Rhinolophus ferrumequinum: one gene and its partners. The protein of the gene in region 1 purifies or fractionates together with the protein of each later gene. This does not show direct contact. Links are inferred from orthologs where the notes say so. Each region holds a gene or a part of one and is shown in the gene's direction. Other genes may lie near its edges. The genes, in order: STX18, SCFD1, USE1 and SCFD2.

Region 1 (7,851 bases):
GATTGAGGTGGCGAGTGGAATTAGCGTTGTCAGTCAGCGGCCTTCAGATAGGAGACTATCCTGGACTAGCTGGGTGGGCCCCTTGTCATCACAAGGGTTCTTAAATGTGAAAGAGGGAGGAGAAGCATACGTGTCCGAGTGACAGGTTGTACGGACTCAACCCGCTATTGCTGGCTTTGAAGATGGAGGAAGGGGCCAAAAGCCAAAATATGTGGACAGCTTCTACAAACTAGAGAAGGCAAAGAAATGGATTCTCCCTTGGAGCTTTCAGAAAGGAGCTCAGCCCTGCCCACACCTTGATTTTAGCCCAGTGAGACCGATTTTGTAGTTTTGACCTCTAGAACTGGAAGATAGCACACTTGCATTCTTTTAAGCCACCAACTTTGTGCTGATTTGTTATAGCAGCCACAGGAAACGAATACACACCCAAAGCCCCTAACCAGCAGAGTGTGTCCTGACAGTCAGGTTTGAACCACATGACTGGAGGCTGAGCCATAGTTGATTGGACCAGAGGTAGATGTCTGTACCAAGATGGGCCTTTGTTTTCTTTTCTGCTTGCTCAGAATTTGGGCTTGGAACTGATACATCTGTGACTAGAGGCATAACATATAAACTGAGGATCTGACAGGGGCCCATGTTTGGCCATGTGAATGAGAAGCAGAGAAAAAAGGTTTGCAAAGATAATTATATCGAAGAAGAGAGAGGCAGAGAGAGACGGAGAGAGATCTGGTAGCATTCTAGTTTCTAGCTCCCCTCTGAGGTGAAGTGCAATTCTACAGAACAAATGCCTCAGCCAGTCACTGCCTCCCACTGACCTTTGCAAAAGAGCCAATGTCCTCAGCGCAGAAACGTTGAGAGATTGGCTCCAACCAAGTGAAAAACGCAGACTGGTGGGTATTGCGCAACTACCAGATCACTAATACCGGTTCCATGGGGGGGGGGGGGGAAGAATTTTTAGAAGGGAATCTCTGCTCCTAGAATCACATGAGAGGTTAATAGGTGTTGCTCTGTTTTTCAGATGAGGCTCAGGGAGGTGAAGTAACTTGCTTAGAGTCACACAGCTAGTGCATAGGGAAGCGGGCATTCAAACCCATCTTTCAGTTTCCAAATCTCATGTATTTTTTGTTTGTTCCTTTGCTTTTCCTATTACTCATCCTTGGCTAACTACTTCCTGGAATTCCTTTTTTTTTGAACTAGAAAGAACTCAGAGATCTAATAAATGTCTCTTATGTACCCGACAACAATTCCTGTCCAGAGAAGTCTGGGCCTTACAGGGTCCAGAAGCTACAGGTCAGATATGGAGGAGGGTTGACAGAGCAGTAGCTCCCCAGTCTCTCTTCTGATGCCTTTTACTAACTGGTGTCCGCATCTGGGTGGTTCCTGGGGATTGCCTACCAGCAGACACTGGATACTCAGCAGCCCTAGGGCCTCTATCTCTGCCTGATGTCAAGGCTTGCAATTCCCACCCACTGATGATGGTAAGTGAAGTGTGCATCCAACAGTCTTGTTTTGGCAGATATCTGGATATGGGTTTATCAATCAAAAGAAGCTAATTATGCTGCAGTACCAACCAACCACAAATCTCCATGCACAACTAGACCAGAGGTTTACTTGTCATTGCCAGCACACAGCCTTGCTTGACTGTGCTCCGGATCATCTTTACTCAGGGACCAGGCCGATGAAACATTGTAAAGAGAGCACAGTGAACCACATGTTATCTCTTAAATTTGCATCACATATCACTTTTTGTGGCTAAAAAGAATCACCGGGCCAGGTTATTCATCAATAGGTCAAGGACCTGTAGTCCTACCCTTGGGAGAGACCATGACTATGAGAGAACAATGAAACAGACTACCACAGGGGGTCTCCAGTCTCTATTGTTGTGGCAAGTCTGTGATTCCATGCGCCCACGAAACTCTGGTCTTCCTGTGCCACCCCGTAAGAATTCACACTTCCAGGCACTGGGCACCCTCCATGCAGCAAATGCCTGCTTACTCCATCTTTCTCTAAGGGATGTGACAATGACATCTTGGTGGCTGACAAAAACAGAAATCTATTTCTCACTCACAGCACTTGTCCATCATGGGTTGGGCATCTGAATGTGCAATATACCCTCTTTTTGGTAGAGGCTGCATTTAAGGACTTCCGTGAGAGTCCCCAAATGATTCAAAGCTGTCTGCATCTATCCAGAGGGTATGGAGGGTGTGGTTGTAGGGAGCTGTACGGGAGCTGTAGGGAATTTCAATACGCCTTACTCTTTTTCAAGAGATGAGTACCTGGCCTAATGAATGAAACATTGTTACTTATAAAACATAATTTATGTACATCAAACTGGATAGTTTGTAGCATCTCACCATGCTGTTCCTCCTTTTTATCCATATCCCCTTTCAGCTTTATGAGGTTTCAAATACCGTGTTTCCCCGAAAATAAGACCTAGCCAGATCATCAGCTCTAATGCATCTTTTGGAGCAAAAATTAATATAATACAAAAAAAATTATATTAAAACAAGACAGGGTCTTATATAATGATATGTTATGCTATGCTATAACAAATATAATATAATACCGGGTCTTATATTAATTTTTGCTTCAAAAGACGCATTAGAGCTGATGGTCCGGCTAGGTCTTATTTTTGGGGAAACACGGTAGTTGTTAGTCTGCTGTCAACTGGAGTTCCCTTGCTCTTTGAGGTCGAAAGAGTAAAATAAAATAAAATAAAGTAATAAAAAAGTGAAGTCTCATATCCCATGGGCTGTGGCAAAACGAATGGCCTCCACAGTGACTTGTCTAGGAATAGCAGGTACTTGTGGTTACTGTGCCTTTAGAGCCTGATGTTTTCAGCCTATTTGGGTCTCACCTTCAGAATGTTCCCTGCTCTTGCAGATCCAGAAAGAAAACTCAGACCTTTGTTCCCAGCTCTCACGCCGAAACCCACTGCACCAAACACACTGCTCACACTGCAGGTTGGTGTGGTGTCGTTCAGCCTCCTCCAACTTAAAAACCCTTCCCCAAGGAAGCACTCTTTTCCTGGCCTCCTCCCCGGGCTCTGGTTTCCCTTTTACCCTAATTCAATCCCCTTCACTACATTATGCAGAGCAATTCAACTCTTTCTTCTTCTCTGCCCCCAGGCTCACCTTTGCATAGCCAAAGACTCATTAATGTCTTGATAAAACAAAGGACCATTTATGTAATACAGAATCATTGGCAGAGATTTTTGTAATTTCTTTCTCATTTTCTCTCTCATACTCCATAGGCTGCAGGAAACTTATTTTCTTCATACAGAAAGGCTGAAGCTGCTATAGTTTGGGTTTTAAATAATGTTTTCCTTCTTCCTTTCAGGTCCATATATGTCCTTTCTTGACATCAATTTTTGACAAATGTATTTATTTAACACAGTGGGTCTCAAACCTTTGCTCTCAGAACTCCTTTACCTTCTTAAAAAGTATTGAAGGCCCTAAATAATTTTTGTCTGTATGGGTTTTATCTATCAGTATTTACCATATTAGACATGAAAACTAAAATTGTAAATATTCACTCCCTTAAAAACAAAAACAAATCCAAACATATTAACACAAATAGTGTATTTTTGTGAAAAAATACATTCCCAAAACAAACAAAAAATGCCGTGAGAATGGCATCGTTTTACATTTTTGCAAATCTCTTTAAAGTCTGGCTTAATAGGAGACAGCTGTTCTGCATTCAGTGTTTTGCAATATCACAAGTCACACGGCCTCTGGAAAATTCAACTGTGTGTAATTCATGAGAGAATTGAGAGTGAAAAGTCAAATAACATCTTATTATCAAAATAATTGTATCTTGCTGACCACTCTTTGACAACCACTGTTTTGATATCCTATTTGTGCATCCTCTTTAACAATGAAAACAAATGAAATCAATGAGCTCGTGAATTACATCTGAACCTGAACCAAAAACGTAGTACGAGCTCACTGATTAACGTGCAAGTTAAATAACTATGACTTAGAAGGGTATGTTTAAAAATTGCGTATCAGGGATAAACAGAAACCAGTGACGTTCTTCACCTTTGTCTCCACCTAATAAATTCTTAGTCATCCTTCAAACCTGCCTTCTCTGATAGCGATGCCTTCCCTATAGACAGTTCCTCCCCACCATAAATAACGAGATTATTAACAACGGTAACTAATCGGTATCGGTCACTAGGAGCCAAGGAAGCGTCCAAATATTTTACACGTGTAAAATCTCATTTAATTCTCACAGTAACACTCCGAGGAAGGTACTGAGCGTCTGGTGGCTGAAGGCTGAAAACGAAAGGCCTCTGGCCTCTCGCTCTGGGCCACGCACACCTGCTCTGCCCTAGCACTAATTGAACCCAGATCGTCACCGTCCCGCACACGGCGAGCCCTTGAGGTCAAAGGTCAGGCCGGGTCGTTTGTGGTTCCCTGCCACCTGCGCGGCTGGGCTCAGTCAGTGCGGGAGCCGACCAGGCTTCCGCGTCCTCTCGCTCCCGGGGCCCTGACGCCCCGGGCCGGCTCCCGAGGGTTCGGGGCTCCGGCACCTTCCTGTGCCGCCAAGCGGTACCAGGTTGTCTGCGAAAAGAAAGGGGCACGGGGGTACGCATCTCGGGATTGGGGAGGCCGTGGGCACCCCACATGCGCGTGGGCGGAGGGCGGAACCTTGCTCCTCTCGCGGCGGTAACCCCGCGGAGGCCGGAACCTTTCTTCTTGCGTCCGGGTTGGCGGGCGGAGGCGTGCGGAGCCGGAACAGTCCTCCAGCGGCTGGGCTTGCGCCCTGGTCGCCTACTGCTGACGTGGGCCGGCTGGGTCGGGGGCAGTAAGTGCGGGTCGCCATGGCGGTGGACATCACACTGCTGTTTCGGGCCAGCGTCAAGACCGTGAAGACGCGCAACAAGGCGCTGGGAGTGGCGGTGGGCGGCGGCGTTGATGGCAGCCGCGACGAGTTGTTCCGCCGGAGCCCCCGGCCCAAAGGCGACTTCTCCAGCCGGGCGCGCGAAGTGGTAAGCTGGTTGTTATGGGAACGGAGGGCTGGAGAGGGCACGGACCCGCGAACGCGGACCCCAGACTCCAAAACGGACCTTGTCGCGCAAGCTTTGTATGAAGGAAGCGCTTGGAGAACAGTGGTCTGATGGGGGACGGGAGAGTTGGTCCCGGAGAGCCGACAGCTGTCCTGGGAACGTAGCAGCCTCGGAGGAATGAGGACATATCTTGGGGAACTCTACGAAGTAGATTTTTTCATAGGGGGAGGAGCCGCTAGGAAATGGTAGTCGGCAAAGGTCGTGGGCTGCTTTGCAGGGAATGAGTGCGCCGTCACTGCAGGCGTGAACACCGGGGAGACTTCCCCGCAGATCTTTGCTCTCCCGTCGCACCACTGACCGCAGTGCATTTGCCTCTTCTATTTACTTGTCTGTCTTGCTCCTCCACTCCGTCCTTACCCCGCACCCCTGCATTGAGGTCAAAGGTCGTGTTCAGCGTACCTGTCGCTTCCCCTTGTCTCCTGCAATAGGTTAGGGCTCATGCTAGGGATCAGTACGTCTTGAGACTGGTTTAAGGTATCTTTCACAAACATTCTGTTACAGTCATCTTTGTTACAGAATGTTATTTGCACGCAGCGGGCTATCGTTCAGGGGAGCAGGGACCTTCGTCTTCCGGCAGGAACAGTGTGGCCGGTGCCCCACTCAGCATTGCTTAGTATGTGTTGAATGAAAACATGAACAAATGATTGTCTGTCTTCCCCACTAAACTCTGTAAGGGGAGAGGAAACGGTAAGGGGAGAGAGAATGTTTGCTTTGTTCACTTTTGTAACCTTAGCACCAAGGGGAGGTGTTGATTTTGTGGAGCTTGAAGGTTATACAGTTCTGTCTGTTTTCTTTAAGAAATTAAAATGCAAAATCACAAAAGAAGGTTCAGAGCTTTGGGAGGTGTAAGTGGGAGGGGCCCTGAAACTTGAACATTAATTTCATGGTAAATCCACTTCTGTTTGGCATGCAGTCCAATGCCTGGTACTTTGTAGACACTCAGCTGTTTTTAAATGAATATATGTATGCATGAATTAATGAGTGGCAGTTTGCAGAGGACAATCAAATATCGGGAAGGAAATTGGACCACGTGAATTCATTCAGTCCATTTATAAACATCCATTAAGCACCTACCTTCTGACCAGCACTGTGTTAGAATAACACAATTTAAAAGGACTGGTGGGGGAAACAGACATATTAACCAAACATGTGCCCTAAAGCCTTGTAAGTGTTGTGTAGAGCACAGAAGAGAATGTGTTCAGTTCTACCTGAATGCCAAGAATGGCTTTATAGAGGTGATACTGCCTGAAACAAATCTTGAAAGAGGAGTAGTTGTTGGTTCTACTGCAGTCAGGGTGCAAAAGGGCATCTCAGGCTCCAAGAAGAGGATGCACAAAGGTGTGGAGATAGGTTAACTTATGTTTGATTTATATACTCATGCATGTCTACCCGTTAAAGTACAAGCTTACTAGACAGTAATGACATTTCAGATGGGGGTTGGGGAAGGAACTCATAGCTGAACTCCCCCCAAACAGTGATGAATATGCTGCTTTGTAGTGAGAGTTTGATTAGTAAATTCGTTTGGATTGTGGGGACTAATGGGGGCCTTGGGAATGAAAAGAGAACTAGGACTTGGATTTCAAAGACTTGGGTTCTGGGTTCTGCTACTTAAAATTGGTGACTTGGGCAAGTCCTATTACCTGAGTCTCATTTTCTCTTTCTATAAAATAGAAACGATAATACCTTACTTAACGGATAAACTAATTATTAGGATCTGTGAGGCTATCCATGAGTATATATCATAAAGAACCATACTGGTTATTATTGTTTCCCTTCACTTCTTACCCCCAACCCCGTGTAGGCTGTTAGACTATTTTCATCATTGGTACCAAGTTATATTCCCTAAACCAGTTAGCTTTCTTGTACTTTTCATTCCTTGCTTGCAAAGGGGAACCAAATAAGTGCAAGAAGGAATCGGTGCAAATCTCGTGCAGGTACTAATAGCATCAGTGGGGACAGCAACTTTCCTTTGGCAAATGTGTGGCAAGCATCAGCTGTCTGCATCTCTTCCTCCCTGTGACCCTGGGAGCAGATCTGGGTAGCTCAGATTCCTTTGCAACATTGTGCCCCAGGCAACCATTACCAGTTGTTGGACCTGACATTCAAGTTGAAATCTGCTTGACATCTTACCTGACACATAGTAAAAATAGAACCCGTATGCCTAAAGTGGAACCATGGTCTTTTTTCTGTATATACTTAAAAGGATCTTATGTTCATGTTGTTTAGGTTTCTCAATTTATAGATGAGAAAACTAACACCCAGGTAAGTGAACCGACTTGCCCAGAGTCCTAATAGCTGAGGTCGTAGGACAGAGCCTGAGGTGGAAGCCAGGTGCTTTGACCCCAGTTTAATGCTGTTTATTACGCAGTCCCCCCGTCCCCCATCCCCCTACCTTTAATTTCCACTGCAATTTTAAACCCCAAATTCTTTGGCTTTCGAATGGCAGTGAGTTTCTTCTTGAGTTAATACTGAATTCCTAACTGGAGACTGAATGGTTAGGAAGACCTGAATTTGAATGCTTCCTAATGTGTCAAGTTGGTCAAGTTACTTAACCTCAGTTTCCTCACTTCTAAAATAGAGCAAGTAAGAGCAACCTTGTAAGGTTGTTGTACAAATGAAATGAGAAAAGTTATGCTGGCCCCTGCATGCGTGTGAATTCTTATAGTTGCAGGTAACGGTGAGCTAGTCAGGTAATTCACCTGAGCCAAATGGGAATGTCTTGGCTGATGTAGCTGGAAACACAGCATGGGCCTTCTTTCCCTGGCTCTTCCCCATCACAC
Region 2 (7,458 bases), on another chromosome or scaffold:
AATATAGAAATATGTAAGAAACAATAGAATGACAACCCAACTTTAATCTCAGTATGCAGTATTAACTACTGTGTTGTGTTTCTGTGTATTGTACAAACTTTTATGTTGTTTTTTTACCTTTGTCAATGTTACTAAAAGTCAAAGAATACCTAAAAGTAATAAGATATCACGCAATAACAATTTGAAGACATATAGGTCGTATAGTCATGTCCCCGTATTTATACTCTTGCAAAAGAAGACATTGGAAAAATCTACTGTCCCTAATCTGTTTTCAAATGTAAATGGGTTTTCCACTAAAGTAAATCATATGAGAGGTAAATTGCTTGTTTGTAATTACATTTTTTCTTGATACATAAAGCAGCTATCAGCTATCATATTCTCATCCTCCCCAAGAAACATCCTTAAGTTACTGATAACTTTTAAAGAAAAATAACAGGATTGATTTGATACTAGCAATGTCTCTTAATACCAAAGGAAAATGAAAACATAATCCTAGTGTAATTTTCTTTGTTACATTTACTAACAGACCCAGCAAATTAAAGTTTCACTTTCATTTGAAGTTTTTAAGAACATTAAACAAGGCATTTCCTTGTCTTGTGTTAATTTAGATTACTGAAAGTAATTAAAGGACCTGTTATAAAAAGAAGTTTGAATATAAACCACAAACTTGCCATATAGCTTTAATTACAAATGTGTTGATAAATTGGATATTTTATTTCTTAACCTACCTTGTATTTATAAAATTTAAAAAGTCATTAAACCAATACAAACAAAAAAAAATAATTGAAGCTATTTTCTGGTTATTTGTAGTTTTAATTAATTTCCCCTACAGTGGTCATTAAAGCTGATCAGCATTCACACACGTTTTGGATGGGGAGGAGTGGGAGGGAGGCAGAGTGCTTGGCTTGGCTGCAATTAAAAACAGATTCTTCATTTCACTTATGCATAGACAGGGCCTTTGGGATAAAGTGGTGTAAATAATAATTGACATTCACGTTTTAAAGTGAAGCATAAATACTGATATTGAAAAATGTTTTCTGGTTTTAAGGATGTTCCATTAATATATTTTTTAGATTAATCTGTATAGTCAGAGCATTTCAGAAACCACTGGGTTATTTATTTTCTGCAGTGTTACTTTGTCAGATGGTTGGTATTATGATTGCTCTTTTTCCATTCATTGTTATAGTGTGCACAATTCTTACATTGATTTTAAAAAGAAATTATGCTATAAATCTTTATAAATGTATATATGTATTTCTTAAATATTTAAATTGTCTAAATGCCATATATTTCAAGTTTGTTTTCTATTGCTCTATCAAGGAAAACCAACAATTCGCCTGTTATGCATCTACTGTTAATAGTCTTTGGTTAGTTTTACGTTCATTGTTCTTAAAGTTTTTAAACTTTTTTGGTGTGAGAACTTCAACTGAATGCCTTTTATACAATCCTCTACTATTCGTAAACTTGGTTGTTTTAGTACTTAAGGTAAAGATCTTTAAAATATCCAAAACTAGCTTACGATTTTATATTTTATCATTTAATTTGCATATTATGAATAGCCATTCTTTGGGTAATGTAAAAAGCCTTCATTTGGTTACTACCCTGAGAAATCACTTTGTTCTCTCTCTACACCAAAACTTTCCATAATTTTTTTTCCTTAATTATATGGAAGCTAGTAGAATTTTTGTACTCAATGCTAAATGCTAAGGAGAGTATAATAGGTAAGTTTTCTCAGTGACTTTGCCTTTAGCATTCAGTCATAAGGAACTGATTAGGACAAGATTCTATTTATAAATACGTAAATCCTTTTATATAGTGATTGTCACATGCTTCATTCTTTTACAATACGCTATTAAACTAGTTGTTATGCTTCAAATAATGCAATACAAAGCATAAGAACACATTGAATGATGGATTATTTGAATGTGTATCACATGTAGTTTAGGAATATTTGGATTTCTTCGAAGAGACCCTCTTTTCAAGTTCTCATTTTGACTATTATCTTTCAATTGCCAAACATATTCCAATACCTACTGTATGCCAGGTGGTGGGCTAGGTAATAGTTTATGTGTCCGCCTATTTCCCCCCATTTTTAAAGATGTCAGATATAGCAACAAACAAATAAGTATGCTTATGCTACTAAATAAGTATGTTTATGCTACTAAACGTGAAATGCGTATATAAACTAAATTAACTTGGTAGGATTTGACAAGGTTAAGGTTCTGGCGATATTAAGTAGATACAAGATCCTTTCTTCTCCACATTTGCAAGATCTGCAAACAGTTGTTGGCTGACACCTAGGAACCTCTTGAATGAGCTGTTCTGAGGTATTTGTGTCAACTATCCCCCAATGTAAAATAATAGTTTGCCAGAATAAATTATTTAAGCCTAAAATCTGGGTAGGTGGAGTCAATTAAACGGATACACAGTAAATGAGGATAACCGACACTGAAGCCATGAGTTTATTTTGGTTATTTCTGATTCTAATATGTAACAAATAGCCTTACAGAGACTATTATAGTCTACTGCCACTGTTCTCCTGTGGGGCATATTTTTCTGTACATTTATTGCCTATACTATACACTTCTTGGTCAGGACAGTTGTTATCATTTCATATGTCCATACTCTATAGGAATGTTTAACATTTCCCTAGCATTTTAATATAACTCATGTCTTAGGGGAAAAGGCTTATGGAGTTGAAATGGTGAGGTGATAGCTTTGCGTGTGAAAGTGTAAGTACGGAAATGAACATGATTGGGCCCTCAGTTGTTGAAAGGTGGGAAAGCCTGTGTATTTTATATACCATGAAGACAAAAAATGAAGTAGAACCTTCCTATAGGGCAGGAACCGTCATTTCTGTTAAATCACAACACATCTAAATCATCGGTGATTTCCTTAAAAATATTGATGATAGCACTGAATAAAACAGTCAACATTCCAGTTAATTTCTTAGTGAATATGCCAATTAGCTGTAAAAATGAGAGGTAATGCACTTGTTATAGAATGTGGGGTAAGGTTCATAACCTTCACCAACTTTTCCCTATTGCCCTCAGCTCCCAGCTACTGGTAACCATTTTGCTGCTGTTTCCTTGAGTTTGAGTTTTCTCTTAAGATTCCCTATACAAGTCATGATGCCGTAAGAAACTTGCAGTTTTAAGATGAATAAAGTCTGAGAATCTAATATATAACAAGGGGACTATAGGTCTGAGGATCTACGGTAATATAAAATAACTGCATTACATAAATTTATTGAGTATAACTTTAAAGTTCTCATATATAGTGGATGTGATCATTAGGTGGGGGAAATTATGTATATATAATCAAATCACGATGTATACTTTGAATATCATACAAATATTTGTCAATTATAACTCCATAAAGCTGAAAAAAATCACGCAAAGGAAAAAGAATGTAGATTCAATTCTAGGGCATTTCCTAATGGTGTTAAAAATAAGATCACCTGTCTTAAGTTTCATGAAAATAAACATTTTGTGAAATAGAGAAATCAGTGCTTTTTGTGTAATTGCACTACGGTATCTTTTAACTGATTTTGTCATAAATTGGAAAGTTTTCAAAACAGTTTTTGGGGCGCAGTATCTATAATTTCGTTTCGTTTCAAAATTTGGTGCAGCTTCAGAATGAACGTACTCAACAGCTAATGCAGGATCATCAGTGAACTCTACTGACCACATGGGAAATGAGTTCTCATTGTGTATCCATTTTTGACATCCAGTAAACTATAGATTAAATTAGGAATCAATATTGTATACATTTTGTCATCACATGGCTTCAAGTGTGCATGAGAACACCTGAGGATGAGAAAACAGATGAGATTGAGAAATCGGCCAGATGAGAGCAGTGCTCCAACGCCGCCTGTTCCCAAAGAGAGCCAAGAGGAAACAAGAGGCTAGCGCTAGCCTTTAAGTGCTTACTTTGTTCCCGGAGCTTCATTTACGTTGGTCCTGTGATCCTTAAACCCCTAAGTATTCTCACCAGTTTAGAGATCTGTAACCGACGAAACAATTCAGTAGTTAGTTCAGTATTTAGCTCATAGCGCTACACCACGCAAGTACCCTGACAGCTCAATTTAAAGCAGCTTCCATTTGAGAGGCTGTGGCGACTAGATAGCATAAAACCGTCTCCTGTTCCGCCGCTAAAAAACACCCTTACTGCTTCCCCAAGTTCTGTGGATAGTTGAGGTCGTGGGAGGGTCACCCTGGAAGAGGCGGGGTCCGGCTCCCAAGAACCTCATTTGGCCCCGCCCCTCCGGGCTTTGCTTCCGGGGCGGTTGCGGCGGTCACGTCATCTTCCGGCTACGCTGGCCAGCCTGGCAGTGGCTGGTGGGAGCCAAGATGGCGGCGAGTGCAGCAGCAAGTATTCGCGAGAGACAAACAGGTACCTACTTATTTATCCTCTTTTCCGTGCGGTTTTGTGCCTGCCATGGGGATGGCCTCTTCCTCTGATTATCACCCTCACTCGGTCGCATTGCATGCCCCTGGGAGACAGACCTCCACGAGTTCAATCCAGTTTTCGAAGCACCGACAGCCCCTCCCCTTTTCAGTTTTTATGGAAGAGATGCCATTGACTTGAGAACTCGGCCCCTCATTAGTGCTGCAGAAGGCGCTTCAGGAATGGGCGGGTTGCTATGGTCCTGCTCTTGTCTCTTTCCTACTGGGCCTTGTCATCTTCATGACAAGATCTGGCAAGATGACATTTCTTTCCTCTGTGTTGTCACCTATGAGGTCTCCGGGTTTGTTTCTGTGGGTGGTTCAGGTCTCTCCCATTTTTAATGTTGAAAGAGTTTCATATTCTGGCACTTCCACCACTATTACAAAATTTAAGTATTTTCAGAGCAGCTTAACGTTCTGCAACTTCTCTCCTTTGGACCAATCTTGTGGGGCTGCCTGAAGAGAAATGTCTGGTGATAAAGATTTCCTTCTTCAGCTTGCTGGAATGGGATTGAAGAATAACAAAACAAATGAATTATTAGCTTTCCCATTTTATCTGACAACTTAATGTTTTAAAACTACGTATTAGTAGTTTCATCTTCAATAGAGCATGGTTATTTATATACCTTCCGTTTATACAGTGAAATGTAGTTTTAAAAAGGACATTTCTTCCCTTGAGCTTTGATATTTTTTCCATCTTAGATATTTTTAGTTTTGCCTGATTTTTTTATAAACTTCTGATGACAACTTGCATTATACCTGTTAGCTACAAACTAATGGTTTATACTTGTTAGCTAATTGTCTTGAAAGTTAGCAAGCTATTAATTCTGAGGAGTGAATAGAAATAAGCCATCAAGAGCGTGCATTCTTGGAAATTATGTCTCTTGTAATTATGTTATTTTACATATAAATCTGAATAGGAAAATAATTAATTACAATTTATATGACCTGCAGAAGGGATTTTGGCTCTGCTTGATTCCTGCCTTTGGAATTCAAAGAAGAAAATTAATGACAGATTTCAATCTAATAATGATGCAGTGCATTATCTCATGAGTCGATCTGCTTTTCCCAATAGATGACTTTGTATAATCTATCAGATTAAGTCAGACATAACTTAAATATATGAAAGTCCAAATAAGAGTTGGGGAGTACCTGCCATTCATTTTATCTGTGTAAGCAAATAGAAGCCCCACTTAACTTAATGAAGCTCAGTGAATTAGGTCATACTACATATTAAAATAAAGAAAATAATGTGTGAAGGAAGATGGTACCAATACAAAGGAACTTTTTGAAAAATGAAATTTGGTGGTAATTATTATATGCAGAAATTTGTAAAATTTTAAATCTAGTATAATTTTGATTTCTGTGGAAATAAACTTCATTATAGAAGATTTCACATCGTTACTAGATAGTTTATGCCAGATTAATCATTTATCAAATTAGTACTCTAGTTGAGTTCTGTCTTATTTCTAGAGAAAGGAAAACCCATTTATATGTGCTATAGTAGCAGAAGGTTATAGTTGTAAAAGATTAACTTTTTGACCTCCCCCTGATGCCTGTTGAGAATGTTTTGGGAAATGACTCACAATCAATTCTCAAATATTGTAGGCGGAATTCTGTTACTGTTATTCTTCATGCATATCTCTCTGTTGCAGGTTCTTGCCCAAATGTCCCACTTCTTAACATCAGAGAGCCGCAGATCAACTGCTTTCTCTCTCGTGATCTCATGTAGCCTCTTGGCTTTAGGTACTCTCTATATACTTAGGATTCCCAAGTTTATATCTCCAGCCTGACCCTCACCTCCGAACTCAGTCTACCCCGTATCAATTACTGGCAACACCGTCCTTGTGTTGCTCAGGTCAGAAACCTTGAAGTTTTTTTGACTTCTGTCTTCATATCCCTCGTTAGATCTGTCAGTAAATCTTGTCAGGTCTACTCTGAAAATATTTCCAGGATCTGACCATTGTCATTGCTGTCACTCAGGTCCACGCCACCATGAATTTCTGCAATAACTGCCTATTTGGTTTCCTGGTTTTTACATCCCTGTTCTTCATTTTTCTTCACACCGTACTCAAATGTCACGTATTTGCTCAAAACCCTCCAACTGCTTCCTGTTTCAATCATGGTAACAGCCAAAATGACCTTACAGTGATCCTCAAGGCTCTATATGACCTGATACCCACTTAGCTTTTTGAACTGGCTCCCTGTTGCTCTCCCGTCTCCTTGAACAACCAGAGTGTTCCCCCTTCAGAACGTTTGTATCCATTTCCTCTATCTGGAATATTCTTTCAGAGATATCTGTGGCTCACTCCCTCACTTCCTTTAGGTCTTAACTGTTACCTTCTCTGGAGGCCTTTCCTGACTACTATATTTAAAATTACACCACAGCTCCCTCTCCTCCCTTCCCTTCCTTGTTTTCTCCATAGCACTTATCATGATCTCACATACCACATGTTTTACTTATTTTGTTGTCTTTCTCTCCCAACTAGAATGAAAGCTCTTTGAGGATAGGTAATTTTTATTCAGTCAGTTTTGTTTAGTGCCAACAGCTAGAGCAGTGTCCAGCAGATGGTAAACACTCGTTAAACATTTGCTGAATGAATAGTAAATATAGTTGAGTATATAGCGAATGAGTGAAGAAAACTTTCCACGCAAGGGTGAAACTACTTTAACCAAGTCTGGGACTGTGGATAGTATGTTCAGGGTTAATAAACAAAACTAGCTTGTCTTTTCAGTTAAAAGCAATATTTAAGCCTTTGGGGAATTACTCTGATAAAAGTGAAATTACATTCTTGTGTGTTATTTGAACACAGGCTTGTACTTTACTAACAAATCCACGTGGTCAGAATCCCTATTATAAGTTAGCGAGGCTCAGTGTTGGGGATATTCACCTAGACGGGGCTGAGAAGGCAAATGCCTGCTCTTACTGACTCTTCCCTCCAGCTAAGGCAGTCTCTGGAGAACACCGTACATCTGGGGCTCCCATGCAGCTCCGGCTGTGCTTCTTCCT
Region 3 (7,741 bases), on another chromosome or scaffold:
CACAGGAGCCTGACCAGGAGCCTGTGGCTGGCAGGTTAGGGGTGGATTCCCCGCCTCAGACAAATGACCACTGGCCTGTCTATTTCATGCCATCCGCCCCTCTCAGGGCAGTGGGGGAGATCTGTCACCTACTTGGTAGTTCTGCTCATCTTCCAACCCCGGCCCTTGCTGACTTGGGCCCCACCCATAGCAGACTGATCCCACAGAAGTAGCCCCAGAGTGTGAGGGGTAAGGGGACGGTTCCTGGGCTCCCCTGTCCTTGTCCCTGCGGTCAGATGTGGCTCAGTGCCTGTGACACGTCCTGTGACTTAGTCCTAGCACCATGTAGTCATCCTCTGTTCATCTCTCCCCCAGCCATGGCCTCTCAAACTGGGGTTTTCGTCTCCCTATGAGGGGGTCCTGGTATGTACTCGATTGGTTGGCCCACCCTGCATGTCTTTGGTGCAGTGCATGCTGGGGTTCCCTCGGCCCCTGGGATCCTCGTAGGATAGGCCCAGCACGTCCTAAACTTCCAAAAGTGCATGCTGGGGGAGACCCATTGCCTGCTATCCACTTCTGCTGAAGACACTAACCAGCTGTGCACCGGCCACTTGATCCCCACATGGCCCCTGGAGAAGCCTCACTAAGCCTGCCGTCCACGGCAGAACTAACCTCCCCCGGAGCTGTGCACACCACCCTCTCCCCACTCACAAGCACTGACCCCACCTGCCCAGAGAGGCCGGCCAGACCTGCCGCTTCTTGTTGCAGAACAAGAGCCCCACAGCCCGGGGAAGCAGCAGCGGCCCAGAAGAGCTGGGGGTGCTGCCAGAGGAGGAAACAGCTGGTGACGACGAGGACCGGGAGAAGGAGATACTCATTGAGCGGATCCAGTCCATCAAGGAGGAGAAGCAAGTGTCCTCTGTCCCCTTCCCACCCTCGTCTGCACCATCCAGCCCCCATCCACTGGTCCCTCCACTGTGCACAGGGGACCTGGACGTTAGGGAGGCTGACAGGCCAAGCTCAGTCCCTCGTCCAGGACCCATCTCGTGGAGTGCTGTTGTCCTAAAACACAGCTTGGGGCTCTGTTTAAACCCTATGCTTGACCACAGGGCACCATGGTGGCCCACAGGGAAAGGAAGGGCAACGGGTGATGTTCAGATTTTGTCTTAAAGGTGTCCTTAGCTAGGGTAACCGAGTAATTCGTTGTCTAGTTGAAATGTGAGTGTGAAAGGGAGTGCTATTAAAAAATTATGCCAGGAGAACAGGCATGAGCCAGGGCACCTGGCCACAGTAGTCTTACAGAGTAGGGTGCTCCAGGCAGAGGGAACAGTACATGCAAAGGTCCTGATGCAGGAGCTCCTCATTTGCTCAGTACTGGGCCAGATGCCTGGCTGCCCTCAGCACCCTGACACCTTCTTCCCATGAGCTTTCCATGGCCGGGGGTTATTTTGGGCCAGGGGTGCTTTGGAGGTGGGAGGTTCTGGGAGCGGGGCATCCCATCCAGTACCAGGACACCAGTACCAGGACATCCAGTACCAGGATCCTGTCATCCGGGCACTTTCCATGAGGTGGTCTTTCACCATTGGGACAGCCTTAGACATGTGACCCCCATCACCCCAGGGAGGACATCACCTACCGGCTGCCAGAACTGGACCCTCGGGGCTCCGACGAGGAGAACCTAGACTCAGAAACATCAGCCAGCACCGAGAGCCTGTTAGAAGAGCGAGCCGGGCGGGGGACCTTGGAAGGTCAGTATTAAGGTAGTGTCTGCTTTTTTCCTTCCCGTGACCATCCCTGGCAGGCCCCAGGGCGAGGGTCCATCTGCTGGCCCTGAAGCTACAGTAACCCTGCTGTCTGTCTCTCAAAAGGGCTCCCCGCACCTGCTCTCCCTAGTCCCAGCACGCCTGCCCCAAGCCCCCTCCCCGAGGTGGCTGCCCCTCCAAGACGAAGGCCGTCGTCCTTCGTGACGGTCAGAGTGAAGACCCCCCGGCGGACCCCCATCATGCCCACAGCTAACATCAAGCTCCCACCCGGCCTGCCCTCCTACCTCCCTGGCCGGGCACCAGGTGCCCATGAGGCCACCGCCTCAGTGAGGCGCCGGGAGCCACCTGCCCGCCGCCCAGACCAGGTACACTCTGTGTATATCACGCCGGGTGCTCACCTGCCTGCACAGGGCACTGAGGAGACCCTGGACGAGGACAACCCACTGCCTGGGGCCAAGCGGAGGTACTCAGACCCCCCAACCTACTGCCTGCCCCCCACCTCGGGCCAGGCTAACGGCTGAGGGTCTGCAGTGCCAGAATCTGCACCTCTAAGGATGGCCCTGTGCCAAAGCTCCAGAGCCAGCATTCAGCTCTCCGAGAAGGATCCAGAATGAAAAGCTCCAAGAGCGATGTGAGGTGGGCACCGGCTCCCCGTGCAGAGTCCAGGCAGCGAGAGGCCGGCTGGGGCTGACGCCCGACATTGCACAGAGGCACTGCCCAGAGCTCTGAATCCTGGCAGGCAGCCTGGCCTCTCCCACCTGCCCCTTTTGTACGGTTGTACGGTAACTGTTACTTTGTGCCTGGTTTACATAACTTTTAAACTGTAACAGCCTTAACAGAAGACCAAATTGTTTTTTATATGTGTATGTAAAACTTTTATATTAACACCCTTATAACCTGGACACAAGACTAAAGAGCAAAGCCCATACAAGCCACCCCACCTTGAAGGCTCAGGCCCGCGCTGACAGCTCAGGGGGCATCCATGGACCAGGACCCTGCAGCAGGGTTTGGACATTTGGGGCACCTGACTGCCCAGAGTCTGTCCAGCGCTCATCCTGTGACCCGGCCAGCGGCTGCCTGGCCCACGTGCATTCAAAGGAGCAGTAGAGTCTTCCATGGGGATCCAGGCTGTTGGCTGGAGCCAGGACATAAGGTGGGGGATGGCCTCTACCCAGGGCACCACGGACTTCACATCCAGGGAGACTCGAATGTGGCCATCACCCCACTGTCCACCGTTCCCTGACTGGAGGAAGCTGCCCTTGGCACTGCCCACACCGTATGGTAGAATTGGAGCCTTTGACTCAGGACCACTCACAGGCTGGGAGAGCAAGGCCTGTGTTTGCGTGTCCCTACAGGCCTATAGTGACAGCCTGGGGATCTCTGGAGTAGGGCTCCCCTCTCTCAGGCTCCGCTCATCACCAGACACCTGGACAGATGGCCCCCGTCTGGAAAGAGGTGCCCCACAAACCATGTGAAATTAAAAAAAAAGTGCCTGAAAAGTGTTTGCATGTGATTCCTGCTCAGACCTGCTTGGGGTTGGAGGTGCATAGGCCAGCAGGTCTCGGGGTTGTACACCCTGCAGTCTCGGGGTTGTGGCCTTGTCTCAGAGGACCTGCCATGATCCTCCAGCAAACTGCTGCTGTTAGTTAGAATGTCACACATAATCCTCACCTGAGCGAGGTGGGCCTGCCGGAGGTGCGTGCATATTGATCCAGAAACCAGGGGGAGCAGGGAGTTACTGGAGCGGCATTCAGTGAGAGAAGCCTGCTGTCCTAGGAGCTGCCCCATTGCCGTTTCACCACCCGGCCTCCCCCAGCTGGGCCATCTGCCCTGGGATGGAGGTGGAGGGCAATTTCTGGTGGGCCCCACAGAGCCAGGAGCAACCTTCCCACAGACAGGCTCCCAGGCTGCAAACATGGGCAGTTGTGGGACCTGGCTAGTAGATGGCGTCCCTGAGGGCGGGCAGCCAGTGGGAACTGGCTAGCAAGTGGGGGGCAGTGACGAATGGGAGTCCAGACTACACATGCGGGAGAGCTGGGGGGCTTTCCAAGGTCACACCACTGGGATGGGGTGTGGCTGGGTTTCAAAACCCACTCAGGGTGCCTCTAGAGCCTCCCTGTATCCACCCTGGGTTTGGTCTCATTCATTGTATCCTTTGAGGACACCAGGCCCACTAATGTGACTGGGACATAGGTGATCTGAGGTCTGGGAAGATAAAGGTGTTGCATGCCACAGTCATCCCTGTGAAGCCTCCATCTTCACCCTGTCCACTCCAGGAGGGGGCTCGCAGGATGGGTCTTGGCTCCCAGTGGGCTAGGACTGGGTTCTTCCCACGGGGATCTGAGCCTTAGGGGTGACCTGGCCCCACCTCTCACTCCCAGGGCTAACCTGTGTCCGCTTCAAGCAGACACGGTCCCACTGCCCATTTCCCAAGGGAGGAAACGCCCAGAAATGGCGGGAGTTGGAGTCAGAGTCAGAGCTGGGACCCAGAAGCTCTTAACCGCAGAAGTTTGGATGGTCCCCTAAGCTTCGGATTCTTAAGTCCCAGGCCAAGGGCTCTCTCCCTAACCCCCAGGAGAAATCGGGGAAGGCTGCCTGGATGCGGGAGAGCTCAGTGTGGGAAGAACCTAGACGGGTTAAGTGTAGTAGAGGAATTTTGAGCTAGGGGAAAGGAATGAGCAGAGGAAGCGGCATGTGGGCCTGACACCGAATGATGGTCCTCAACCCTTCCTGAGGGGTTAAGATGTTCGCGAGGAAAGCAGGCGATTTGGCCCTAAGTATGGATGGGATGGCCACTCCTTGAAACAAGACTACTTATGCTCCAAAGATGAGACAGAACGAGCGGGACACGCCAGCCCGGAAGGAAGTCAAGTAAAGGCACTTCCGCCCTCGCTTAAGATGTCGCCGGCGGAAGGGGCGGGGTACCGCCGGGTGGTGATGGCCGCGTCGAGGCTAGAGCTGAACCTGGTGCGGTTGCTGTGCCGCTGCGAGGCGATGGCAGCAGAGAAGCGGGACTCGGACGAGTGGCGTCTGGAGAAGGTGAGGGGAGCCCGGGCTGCTGCGTAGAGCCCGACTCCGGTAGGGTGGTCCTCGGGGTTAACAGCCACTAGGCCGGTCTCCCCCGCCCCACCAAACGCTCTGGCCACGCCCCTTCCGGTCGGCTCCGCCACGTCCACCAGCTACTTCCGCCCTCGTCCCTGGGCTCTTCTGGCCCCGCCTCCTTGACAACTGGCCCCTCCTATTTCCCGGCCCCTCCCCCTTTCCCAGCCCCGCCCTGTCCTAGCCCCGCCTTTTGTTGTCTCTGCCCCTCTTCGGGCCGGATGGGGGTTATTCGGGGGACCCGGCTAACACCCACTTTCTCTCCCCAGTACGTGGGAGCCCTCGAGAACATGCTGCAGGCCCTGAAACTCCAAGCGAGGTGAGTACAGGCGGCCATAGGGGTTTTAAATCCGGGGTGGGAGTGGAGGCCAGGGGGCCCTCTCCTGTTGGGAGACCCCTGGGCTCCATCCCTGCTGGGACAGCTTCTCTGAACTGGGGACAGCGGACAGGTTTCCTTTTTCCACGTCTCCCGTCATCCAGCAAACCGGCCTCCGAGGTGATCAATGAATATTCCCGCAAGGTAGACTTTCTGAAGGGGATGCTGCAGGCGGAGAAGCTGGTGAGCAGGGGCACCTCTGCTTCTTCGGCCCTTATCATGTTCTCCTGAGTCCCGCCCCTCTGGTGACTCCTCCTCCTTCTTCTGCAGACCTCCTCCTCTGAGAAGGCGCTAGCCAACCAGTTCCTGGCCCCTGGCCGTGTGCCAACCACAGCCAGGGAGCGGGTGCCCGCCACCAAGACTGTACACCTGCAGTCACGGGCTCGGTACACCAGTGAGATGCGGAGCGAGCTGCTAGGCACGGTAGGGCTCCCTCCCTGGTCCCTGGGAACCTTTCAGTCAGGGACAGGAGTTCAGTGCCTGGGGATGGCCAGAACAACAAATACTATCACGTACAAGGACCCTAGGGGACCCAACAGCCTCTGCCCTAGGCCATAAAACAAGGTTTCCCAAAAGAAGGGCATTGTAGCCAGGGCTTTGCTAGAGGAATGAGTTTGTTTGGTACAAGGCAAAAGTGGTACGCATCTTGTTAAGCCACAGAGTTGGCCCTGTGCAAGCTAGGAGAGTTTGGCTCCTAGCTTCCCACTTTACACAAATAGACAAGATTTTTTTCATCTGTAAAATAGGATGACAGGTGCCTTTCTGAGCACTTTACGTAAATCAGCGAAACCCTTCAAAGTATAAGCTGTTGTCATTACCAGTTTATAGATGAGAAAACTGAGGCTCAGAAGTCATAGGACGTGCCTAGGTCCCTGACTAAGGGCTCAGAAGTTCTGAGAGCAGAAAGGACAGGTTTGGGAGCATAACAGGGTAGGTGACTTCCTGCCTGTCGCTTTTTCCCACAGGACTCTGCTGGAGGTGAGTCACCCTGAGTAGAACAGGACTCAAGTCCTTAGCTGCTTGGGACAGGACATGTGTCCTTGCTGCCCGCCATCCCTCGTGCCTCATCTAGCTGCAACAGGATCCTCTGCATCCCAGAGAGAACATCCCTGGGGGCATCGCCAAGTCATGCCTAGAGGGGGTCTGGGAAGAGAGGAGGTGGCCCTCAGAGGAAACAGGAGGGAAGGAGGGACCTGGGGCCTAAGAAAACCCAGATGGGGGTGAGGAAAACATCCCAGACAAGAGGGCAGCAGACAAGATGGGCAAGGGCCTTATGGGTAGCAGACCCATAATGCTTAGGAAGCTGGAACACAGGAAACCAATCCTCTCCTTCCTGCTTGGCCTGTTCTGCTTCCAGAGCCAGCGCTGGACGTGAGAAAGAGAATGTGAGTATCTTCAGCCCTTGGGCAGAACTGCGGGGGCAGGGGGGCTAGACAAACCTTGAGCCACTGAGGCGCCACTACAAACATCTAAACCACCCATCAGTTGACACTTCTGAGAATGCTCTTCCCAGAAACCAAAGTAAAGAAGGGGAAACTGAGCCCCAAGTAGGACAGTGGCTGTAGCCATCACTTGTGGATTCCCTGGGAACATGTTGGTCTCTTCCCCTCCTCCACACGATCTCATGTCCACCCGTCCACCCACGTGTGGGGTCAGTGGGGTGGCAGGGCCCAGGCCAGGGGATGAGAAGCAGTCGGCAGCCGAGCTAGACCTCGTCCTGCAACAACACCAGAACCTCCAGGAGAAGCTGGCAGAAGAAATGCTAGATCTGGCCCGGAGCCTAAAGACCAACACACTGGCCGCCCAGAGTGTCATCAAGAAGGACAACCAGGTGTGAGGACTATGGGGATTCTGCAGCCTCTGCCCTGGGGCATCAGAGTTTTCCCAGCAGAGGGGTCCTGTGGCTGGGGCTTGGCTGGATAAATAGTAGGAGCTTGGTAGAAGGCAAGAAATGGCATTCCTAGCAGAGGAGACAGCACCAGCAAGCAAGGGCCAAGAGGTGCTGACTTGCCCCAGGGCAGTGGGGAGAGGCCACACTCGATCCCAGTCCTATTGATAACCCGCCCCACCTCACCCACAGACCCTGTCACATTCACTCAAGATGGCTGACCAGAACCTGGAGAAGCTGAAGACAGAATCAGAGCGGCTGGAGCAGCACGCACAGAAGTCAGTCAACTGGCTGCTCTGGGCCATGCTTATCATAGTCTGCTTCATTTTCATCAGCATGATCCTCTTCATCCGTATCATGCCCAAACTCAAATAAAGACTTGGCCCAGCCCACCCCATCTGTCCTCTGTCTGCCCTCCACCCTTGTCCAGATGTACCCTTTGGGGTGGACAACAAGATAGGAAGGCCCTTGGAGGTCCCCAAGAGCCAGAGAGTACTTGAGCAGGGGAGGAAGAAGATCAGGCTTTGGGCGGGAGTGGTGGCTCAGCAACCCCCTCCCCATTTCCCACTGGTACCTACCCCACACTGGACAAGGTGGGGCCCCTAGAGGCCCTAGGAGTCCCCAGTGTGGTAGAGT
Region 4 (7,973 bases), about 67 Mb from region 1:
TTGTATTGTTTTTGTGGGAGAAATTGAGGTTAACTAGTCTTAAAGGATACAATACTGTATGTATTCTGCAGATCGCTTTTTTTTTTTAACTCAACAGTGTGTTAAAGATCCTTGTGTGTTAGTACATATGTGTCAAACTATGTCCATTTTTAAGTGCTTCATAATATTCTATAGCATAGCTCTCATAAAATGATGTACAATTGCTTTCAACTTTTCACTTTAACACACAAAAAACCCTACAATGAAGACCTATGTCCATGACTTCTTGCACATTTGTATAATACAAGTGTATATGTCATAAAGTATGTGCAGTTTTTAAGTCAATAGATAATGCCAAATTTTCAGGCCACTTTTGAGAACACATCCTTCAAGAAGATGACACATGATGGGTCAAAACTGGTATTCTCGTTCTCAACTATAACATAGTTGCATGACCTCAGGTAATCAACCTTTCTATGCTTCAGTTTTCTCAGCTATAAAATGGGAAATTTGAATGAGATGATCTCTAAAGTCCCTTTTAGTTATGATGTTTTCAAATAGGACACTCACTTTTCAACGGAAAGAAATCTATTTTAATTACAAAAATCAATATGTTTACATACTCTCTAATCAGTAAATATTGTTTTTTCATTTATTTGGCAATTACTGACATCTGCTGTTTAAGAACTTGGAAAATAAAGACATGAGTAAAACATAGCCCCTACCCTCAAAGAGCTCTGTAGAGAAAGGGTGATAAACAACTAACTCTCCTACAAGGGGAAAAGGAGACTATGATACAATAGAAGCACATACAAAGTATTTACATTCCACCAATATGACACCATTTTGTATTATTTAAACAAATCATATGGTTTTAATCCCCTTTACCTTTTTGTTTTGTTTTGTTTTCTATAATTTTTTTTAATTTTATCGGGGAATATTGGGGAACAGTGTGTTTCTCCAGGGCCCATCAGCTCTAAATCGTTGTCCTTCAATCTAGTTGTGGAGGGCGCAGCTCAGCTCCAAGTCCAGTTGCTGTTTTCAATCTTTAGTTGCAGGGGGCACAGCCCACCATCCCATGTGGGAATTGAACCAGAAACTTTGTTGTTGAGAGCTTCCGCTCTAACCAACTGAGCCATCCGGCTGCTCCAATCCCCCTTACCTTTGAACACTCTTCTACCTGCTATTCCCAGTCTCCCGAATCTGTTTAGGATAATCTCTTGCATCCTTCTGAACTCTGTTGCAACATAATCAACTTCATGAATTCTTTCCTGAATTCCACTTTATCTCCTCCCATATTTTTATTCATTCAATAAATATTTATGGAGGCTCCACAAGTGTCAGGAACTCTTCTAGGCTACATATTAATAGATTCGACAGTGAGTAAGACAAAGTCCTCCTCTCATGAAGCTTTCATTCTGAGGAGACAACCACTAAACATATGTCACGCGGTGATAAGGATTATAAAGAAAAGTAAGCAGAATAGGAAGACCCAGAGTGGGGTAATGAAGAGGGATAGGGTGCAATTTTATATCGTGTCAGGAAAAGGCCACTCTGATAAGGTGATACAAGAGCAGAGGCATGAATGGAAAGAAAAAGTAAGCTGGGTAGATTGCTGGATGAAGTCCTATCAGACAGAGGGAGTATGGAAGCGCAAAGGTTCTGGGACAACAACATACTTAGTGTGTTCGAGGAACCCCAAATGTAGCTGAAGAGGGAGGGAGGAAGAGGCTGTAGATGAGGTCAGAGTTATTGGGGAGCGGGCAGGGCAGAGCTAATCACTCCCTTGTAGACCTTGTGCTGCTTCTATGGAATGTGTCCATCACAACATATAGTAATGATTTGACTACATATCTGTATTCCTAAGACTGTTCATTAGACCAAATCCTCCCTCAAATGGAGCGTTTTTTTAATCACTCTCATTCCTGGTATGGTGCCTAGCACTTAGTAGATCTTCTTGGCCTTTACTCACAATAATGGAGTGAAGGTTTTACATTCTCTTTGGGAGTATCATAAGACAATCACTTACAGTCTTGTCTATTTATCTTTCTGTTTATCATTCCGTGAGTGTATAATGAACTTTGGTGGTTTCATGGGAGAACCAATCACCATTTGCTGAGAAGACTTTTTCTCCTTTCAGCTGCCTGAAATGAGCTCGTATTTCAAGGGATTACTTAAACAGAACTGAAGAATTACTGAATAATAACTGATGCATCAGAATTGCCTTCATGGTGGAGGTAGTATTTGATTTAAGCTTTGAACAGGAGGATTTCCACAAGCAGAGAAGCCCATAAATCACTAATAACCAGTCTTAAAAGGCCTCCTCCTTTCTTGCTTCCAAATTGAATTCCTTGCCTGGATAAACTTCCTTAGCTAAAGGTATCTTTATCTTCCTACTCACCAGGGGAGACTTCAAAGAGAGGTAGCTTGATGATACTGTGTAAAATTATGACCTTATCCAACTACAATACTCCATACATTCTGATTATATTTGTGTCCCATTTTATTTTATTTTTCTGTGATCTGTTGGTTCCTGGCAAAACAACAATAACAACAAAGCAACAGTTTTAATATATCTCTAAGAAATACCAAAAGGGAATGCTTAGCAGATGATTAAAATGATGACAAGAGTTAAAACTCAAATAACAGTGCTATGTTCAGTATCTAGCAGATAGTGAGTACTCATAAATGTGTTTTGAATGAATATGTCATTTAGGCCCAACTATGCTATTTGCTGCAAACTTTAAATATGTTGCTTAAATCTCAATATTATTCAGTTTCCTCATCAGTAAAATGATATATTAATATGACATTTTATATTCACTTCTTGGGAAGATAACAAAGCTAAAATTAGGTTTCAAAAATGTCAAAGCATTAGACCAGTTAGAGGCAAGCAGGTAGTGGGTTATGGTGTAGGCCTTTTGTCCTTTCAACAACCTGAATAACCACACACGTGTAAAGGTTTCCTTCTTCTCTAGATACTTCCATCAGGAATTAAGCCTCAATTATCCATCTTCCTATATATTTTGACATATTTTAACACTAAATTTTATATTGCTTGCTGTTTCTGGAAAATTGTATCATCTCCTCTTATAGCTACACTGTTATGTAAACTGCACACTCCTTAATGATGAAAACATTTTTTTTTCTGTAGTTACCAGATCCTGTTTTACAATGTCAAGCACATAGAAAGTGGTTAGTAAATCCTTATGTTGATGATGCATATGGAGGACTTAGAAATGAGGTGCAGAGAGATATGTTTGGTTTTATGAGGAATGGGAAATAATTGTTGGCTATTTTGAGCACAGAAGTACAAATCACATTTAAATGAAGTATATCTGATTGTCTTAAGCATGTAATTTTAGCAGGACTTAATTTGACTCTGCCATAACATCTGAGAACAAGAAGTGGAAGGAAGGAAATTCTGACACATATTATAAAATGGATGAACCTTTAAGGATATTACGCTAAGTGAAATAAGCCAGTCACAGAGGGACAAATATTGTGTGATTCCACATACACGAGATATCTAGAGTAGTCAATTCATAAAAACAGAAAGTAGAATGATGGTTGCCAGGGGTAGAGGGAGGGAGAAATGGGGAGTTGTTTAATGTACATACTGTAGAGTTTCAGTTTCACAAGATGAAAAAATTCTGGAGATTGGTTGCACAACAATGTGAAAATACTTAACACTGCTGAATTGTACCCTTAAAAATGGTTAAAATGGAATTTTATGTTATGTGTATTTTGTCACAATTAAAAAAAACAAACAGACAAATAAACAAAAACATGGCCCAACTGAACTCTGCACATTTATTCCCCATTCTGTTTCTCTTTTGATTTTCCAAATCTCAGTGACTATCATTTACTAGTCACTGAGGCAGAAAAGTGGGCATTAATCAGAAATTTTCCCTCGCCATCTCTCTGTCAATCCGGTAACCAGGATTTTGAGCTCTATCTCCTTAACATTTATTTAGACACCCCTCATTGTCTATCCCTTTACTGGTATGCTTATCTACTCTGGCCCAAGTATTTGCTGTTACTATTTCCTAACTGTTCTCCCAGCTCAAAATCTTACTGCGTTCAAATTATTGTCTGTGTCCTTAATAGAATATTTTTTTCTAAACTCTAGATATGGACAAATTATTTTCACTCCTAAAAATAATAGTTCCCCCTTGGCTGCTACTACGTAGAATAAGAAATAAGACTAACCCTGATCTAGTCACTTCTTTTCTAGTTTTAGCTCCTATTTCTTCTTGGGTCTCTTCATACAAGACATTCTAGCTAAACTATACTGTTTTTAGTTCCAAAACACACGTTGTATGGTTTCATCACGCTATGACTTTGTTCATGCTGCACTTTCTGCCTGGGCTGCCAGGAATGCTCCTCCCCATTCTGTCCACCTGGTGAACACCTGGTTTTCTTTGAAGGCAACTCAAAACTTATGTCCTATATGAAACTCCTAACCACTTCCCCTTTTTACTTCACCCAGTCAGAATTTATTTTCTCTCATTTGTAATTCTTATACATTAAAAAGGTCATCGCTTCTGGAACATTTTATTGCACTTGCTTTGCCTGTGTGGGTCATTTTAATTCAGATTCTTTTAAAGGCAAGACTGTGGCTTACTTCTCTTTATATCCTCAATGCCCAACACATATTGTACAAGTTCATTAAAAGTTGATGTCCAGCTCGCCTCCCTGAGCTTCCTAGGACCCCCGAGAGCCGCGGAGCCTCGCCCACTTTTCTTTCCCACACCTCAGCATGCTTCCTGGAGCTGTCTCCCCGCAAGCCAATCACGCTCCGCTGACGTCATCACCGTGCGCAGCCACTGGACAAGTAAGAGGCGGCACCGCGTAACTTGTGTTGATTGTCAAAGTGTCAAGGAGCCCAATTCCCGGAAGTTGTGAGTTCTGAGAAAGTTTCTGTACTTGTGTGCACGAGTCTGCGAATTCCCAACTATGAGCGCCCCGGGCGTGCAGTCGTTTACCCAGCAGGGCTGGGAGCAGGTGCTGGCCAAAGTGAAACGGGCTGTGGTCTACCTGGACGCCGCCTGTGCCGAAAGCCTGCACTGGGGCTGCGGATCCACCCGGCTCCTGGAGGCGGTGGGGGGACCTGCGTGTTACTTGCGGGAGTTCGAGCCCGCAGCAGTCGGTGGCGGAGCTAAGCAGCCCAAGGCGGTGTTTGTGCTGAGCTGCCTACTGAAAGGCCGAACCGTGGAGACTCTACGGAACATCATCTGCCGCAGTCACTTCCAGTATTGTGTGGTGGTCACGACTGTGAACCACGCTGTCCACCTCACGGCTAATCACGTGCCAGCCGCGGCAGCGGCGGAGCTGGAGGGGCAGCAGCCGGTGTTCGAGCAACTAGAAGAGAAGCTGTGTGAGTGGATGGGCAACATGAACTACACCGCCGAGGTGCTTCACGCCCCACTGTTGCTCGCCCCTGCCGCTCCCTACCTTGCCTTGACTCCAGCCTTTGCTTCCCTGTTTCCACTGCTACCCCAGGATGTGCATCTCCTTAACAGTGCCCGACCGGACAAGAGGAGGCTGGGAAGCCTGGGTGAGGTGGATGCCACTGCCCTGACCCCTGAGCTGCTACTGCAGATCAGGTGCCTGGTGTCAGGCCTCAGTTCTCTGTGTGAGCACCTAGGGGTCCGAGAGGAGTGTTTTGCTGTAGGTTCCCTCAGTAGGGTCATCGCTGCAGATCTGGCCAATTATGCCCCTGCCAAGAACAGGAGGAGGACTTCTGCAGGCAGGGCATCAGTGGTCTTTGTGGACAGAACTCTGGATCTCACAGGTAAGTGGGATTGCTGTGGAGGGCTTCATAACCACTCTCCAAGGTTCTGATACTTTCATTGATTCAGAGTATATTTTATTGACCTCTTACTATATGTCAGGTTGAAGATACAAAGATGAACTAGGTGGACACAGTCCCTAATCTCACAGAGTTTACAATCTAGACGGAGATACAGACAAACAAATTAGCATTAGTCAGTGTGTTAAAAGCTGTAATGAATAAATACATCTTCAGTGTGCACGGCCTTGTTAAACAACAACTGCATCTAGCCCAAGAGATTGGAAAAATATAATTATGATGACACCGAGGAGAAATGTCTACCTGGGAACCTTTTAGGAATGTGCAGATGCACGTATTCCCAACAATCCTTCATAGAAGGGCTCTAATTTGTTGGAGAGGTGTTAACAGATGATTTAGTGGAAGGAAACTGTTCAACAAAACAGGAAATTATCACAGAGAGTTAGTTGAGTTTTAGGTTTTGTGGGGACAGAGAGCAGTTTCTATGCTTTCAGCCTCACATGCAAAAGTGCTGGCTCGGGTAGTAGATGATCATCGGCTGTAACCAGTTAGCCATTGGCCACTGATATAACTGCCGTGGCTGAGCTAGCAAGGGCAGATTGCAGTTAGCAAGGGGTTGGTTGGTTGGCGGAGAAGCGGATGGCAGATTGAGGCTAGCAAGTGGGGTTAGCAAGTGTGGATGGCGGATTGCGGATCGTGTGGATCCTACTTCCTGTGTCTTGGCCAGCCGCCAGCAAGACTGGGATGCAGGAAGACCCCTTGTTGGGGTACTGGCGGATGTTTGCTTTTGTGCCTCGACCAGCCGCCATGGAGAATATAGTGGTATGACTCCCCTATCTATGGCTCTGTTGTTCCTTTTTGGCCTCACCATGTCCTATGTTCTGTTGAGGGGAGCGGGACCAGAGTCCCTGCATGACAGTTTCCTTAAATGAGTATTAAAAAAATCTATGTCCATTCTAGGCTTAAAGATATAATTCACTCAGAGATTTTTGACCCCCCCCCCCCGCATCATTAGACATTCATTCAGCAAGTATTTAATGAGGAACTTGTAGGGTGAGTGCTAGGGAGACAACCATAAATTACAGACGACATAAATAAGATGTGGTTCCCACCAGCTCTAATCAATGAATGTTCTACTGGTGATACAAGAACTCTTTTCTTTAACATCAGATGTGACCTTAGAAGCACTCATGCTGGCTCTGTCTTAAGTCACTTTTATGAGACTAATTTAAAAAAAAAAAGTGTAGGTTTGGGATTATTTGCCTCCTGAGTTTGAATTCTTGGTTGGTAATTTATAAGTTGTGTAATCTTGAGCAAGTTACTTAAATTGAATCTTCTACTCTGTAAATGAGCTTAATAATATCTACCTTTTAGAGTTGTAAGAATTAAGTCAATAATAGATGTCCAGTATGGAGCTTAATATCAGGTACATCATAAAGTCTCAATAAATACTACCGTGTTTACCGGAAAATAAGACCTAACTGGAAAATAGGCCCTAGCATGATTTTTCAGGATGACATCCCCTGAACATAAGCCCTAATACCTCTTTTGGAGCAAAAATTAATATAAGACCGGGTCTTATTTTGGGGGATACACGGTAGCTATTGTGATGAAGATGATGGTGTTAGTTCCTTGAATCCCGGTTTGGTCTTTTCTACCTAGTTCTTTTGTCCAATTAATATAACATAGCAAAAACAAAAGAGAGAGATAGAGATAGACGATAGGAAGCAAAATGTTAATTAATTTGAAGTGGGTGGAATCAAAACAAGTAAATGGGCCAAGTCCCACCCATTGTTGGTATGAGGTCTTCTAAGCAATGATGGCTTTTGGAAAGATAAGTTGGTTTTATTGGGAAAGTATTGAACGGTCGTTGGTCTTGAATTTCAATTTGAGGTCATTAATTCATTTACTATTAAAAGAGTTAATACATGTAAAACACCTAGAAAAGTCCCTGGTACACAGAAAGCAGTCTATAAATGCCTGTATCATTGCAAACTGTTACCATTCATTCATTTGTTCTTTCTTTCATCTAGCAAATATTTAGTGAGAGCCTACTGGGTGCCAGGTTGCCTGCTAGACATGGTGGGTACAGGATTAACTAGCTGAACAGTTGCCATTGTGAAGATAAGGGTCTAGCTCAGGGGAGATCTGCTCTGCTTCGTCAGGTTTAGTCCTCTGG

The links.
Region 2: the proteins of STX18 (region 1) and SCFD1 purify together in Homo sapiens (affinity purification with mass spectrometry; 5 studies listed by BioGRID and IntAct, counting the BioPlex papers as one, with this or other methods). This does not show direct contact. The link is inferred for Rhinolophus ferrumequinum from reciprocal best matches to the Homo sapiens genes STX18 and SCFD1.
Region 3: the proteins of STX18 (region 1) and USE1 purify together in Homo sapiens (co-immunoprecipitation; 4 studies listed by BioGRID and IntAct, counting the BioPlex papers as one, with this or other methods). This does not show direct contact. The link is inferred for Rhinolophus ferrumequinum from reciprocal best matches to the Homo sapiens genes STX18 and USE1.
Region 4: the proteins of STX18 (region 1) and SCFD2 purify together in Homo sapiens (co-immunoprecipitation; 3 studies listed by BioGRID and IntAct, counting the BioPlex papers as one, with this or other methods). This does not show direct contact. The link is inferred for Rhinolophus ferrumequinum from reciprocal best matches to the Homo sapiens genes STX18 and SCFD2.

Annotation. Positions count from the first base shown.
Region 1 is NC_046288.1:83,038,353-83,046,203, reverse strand, and holds the start of STX18 (syntaxin-18), read left to right. Parts: upstream 1-4,719; 5' UTR 4,720-4,825; coding exon 4,826-4,993; intron 4,994-7,851. UniProt on the Homo sapiens protein: Syntaxin that may be involved in targeting and fusion of Golgi-derived retrograde transport vesicles with the ER.
Region 2 is NC_046289.1:79,696,170-79,703,627, forward strand, and holds the start of SCFD1 (sec1 family domain-containing protein 1), read left to right. Parts: upstream 1-4,296; 5' UTR 4,297-4,352; coding exon 4,353-4,395; intron 4,396-7,458. UniProt on the Homo sapiens protein: Plays a role in SNARE-pin assembly and Golgi-to-ER retrograde transport via its interaction with COG4. Involved in vesicular transport between the endoplasmic reticulum and the Golgi.
Region 3 is NC_046301.1:50,451,423-50,459,163, forward strand, and holds USE1 (vesicle transport protein USE1), read left to right. Parts: upstream 1-4,625; 5' UTR 4,626-4,640; coding exon 4,641-4,781; intron 4,782-5,110; coding exon 5,111-5,160; intron 5,161-5,321; coding exon 5,322-5,400; intron 5,401-5,487; coding exon 5,488-5,640; intron 5,641-6,182; coding exon 6,183-6,195; intron 6,196-6,574; coding exon 6,575-6,602; intron 6,603-6,873; coding exon 6,874-7,048; intron 7,049-7,297; coding exon 7,298-7,480; 3' UTR 7,481-7,497; downstream 7,498-7,741. Other genes in the region: MYO9B (unconventional myosin-IXb), read left to right, coding at 355-402, 748-887, 1,600-1,727, 1,848-2,263.
Region 4 is NC_046288.1:15,955,205-15,963,177, reverse strand, and holds the start of SCFD2 (sec1 family domain-containing protein 2), read left to right. Parts: upstream 1-4,811; 5' UTR 4,812-4,938; coding exon 4,939-5,776; intron 5,777-7,973. UniProt on the Homo sapiens protein: May be involved in protein transport.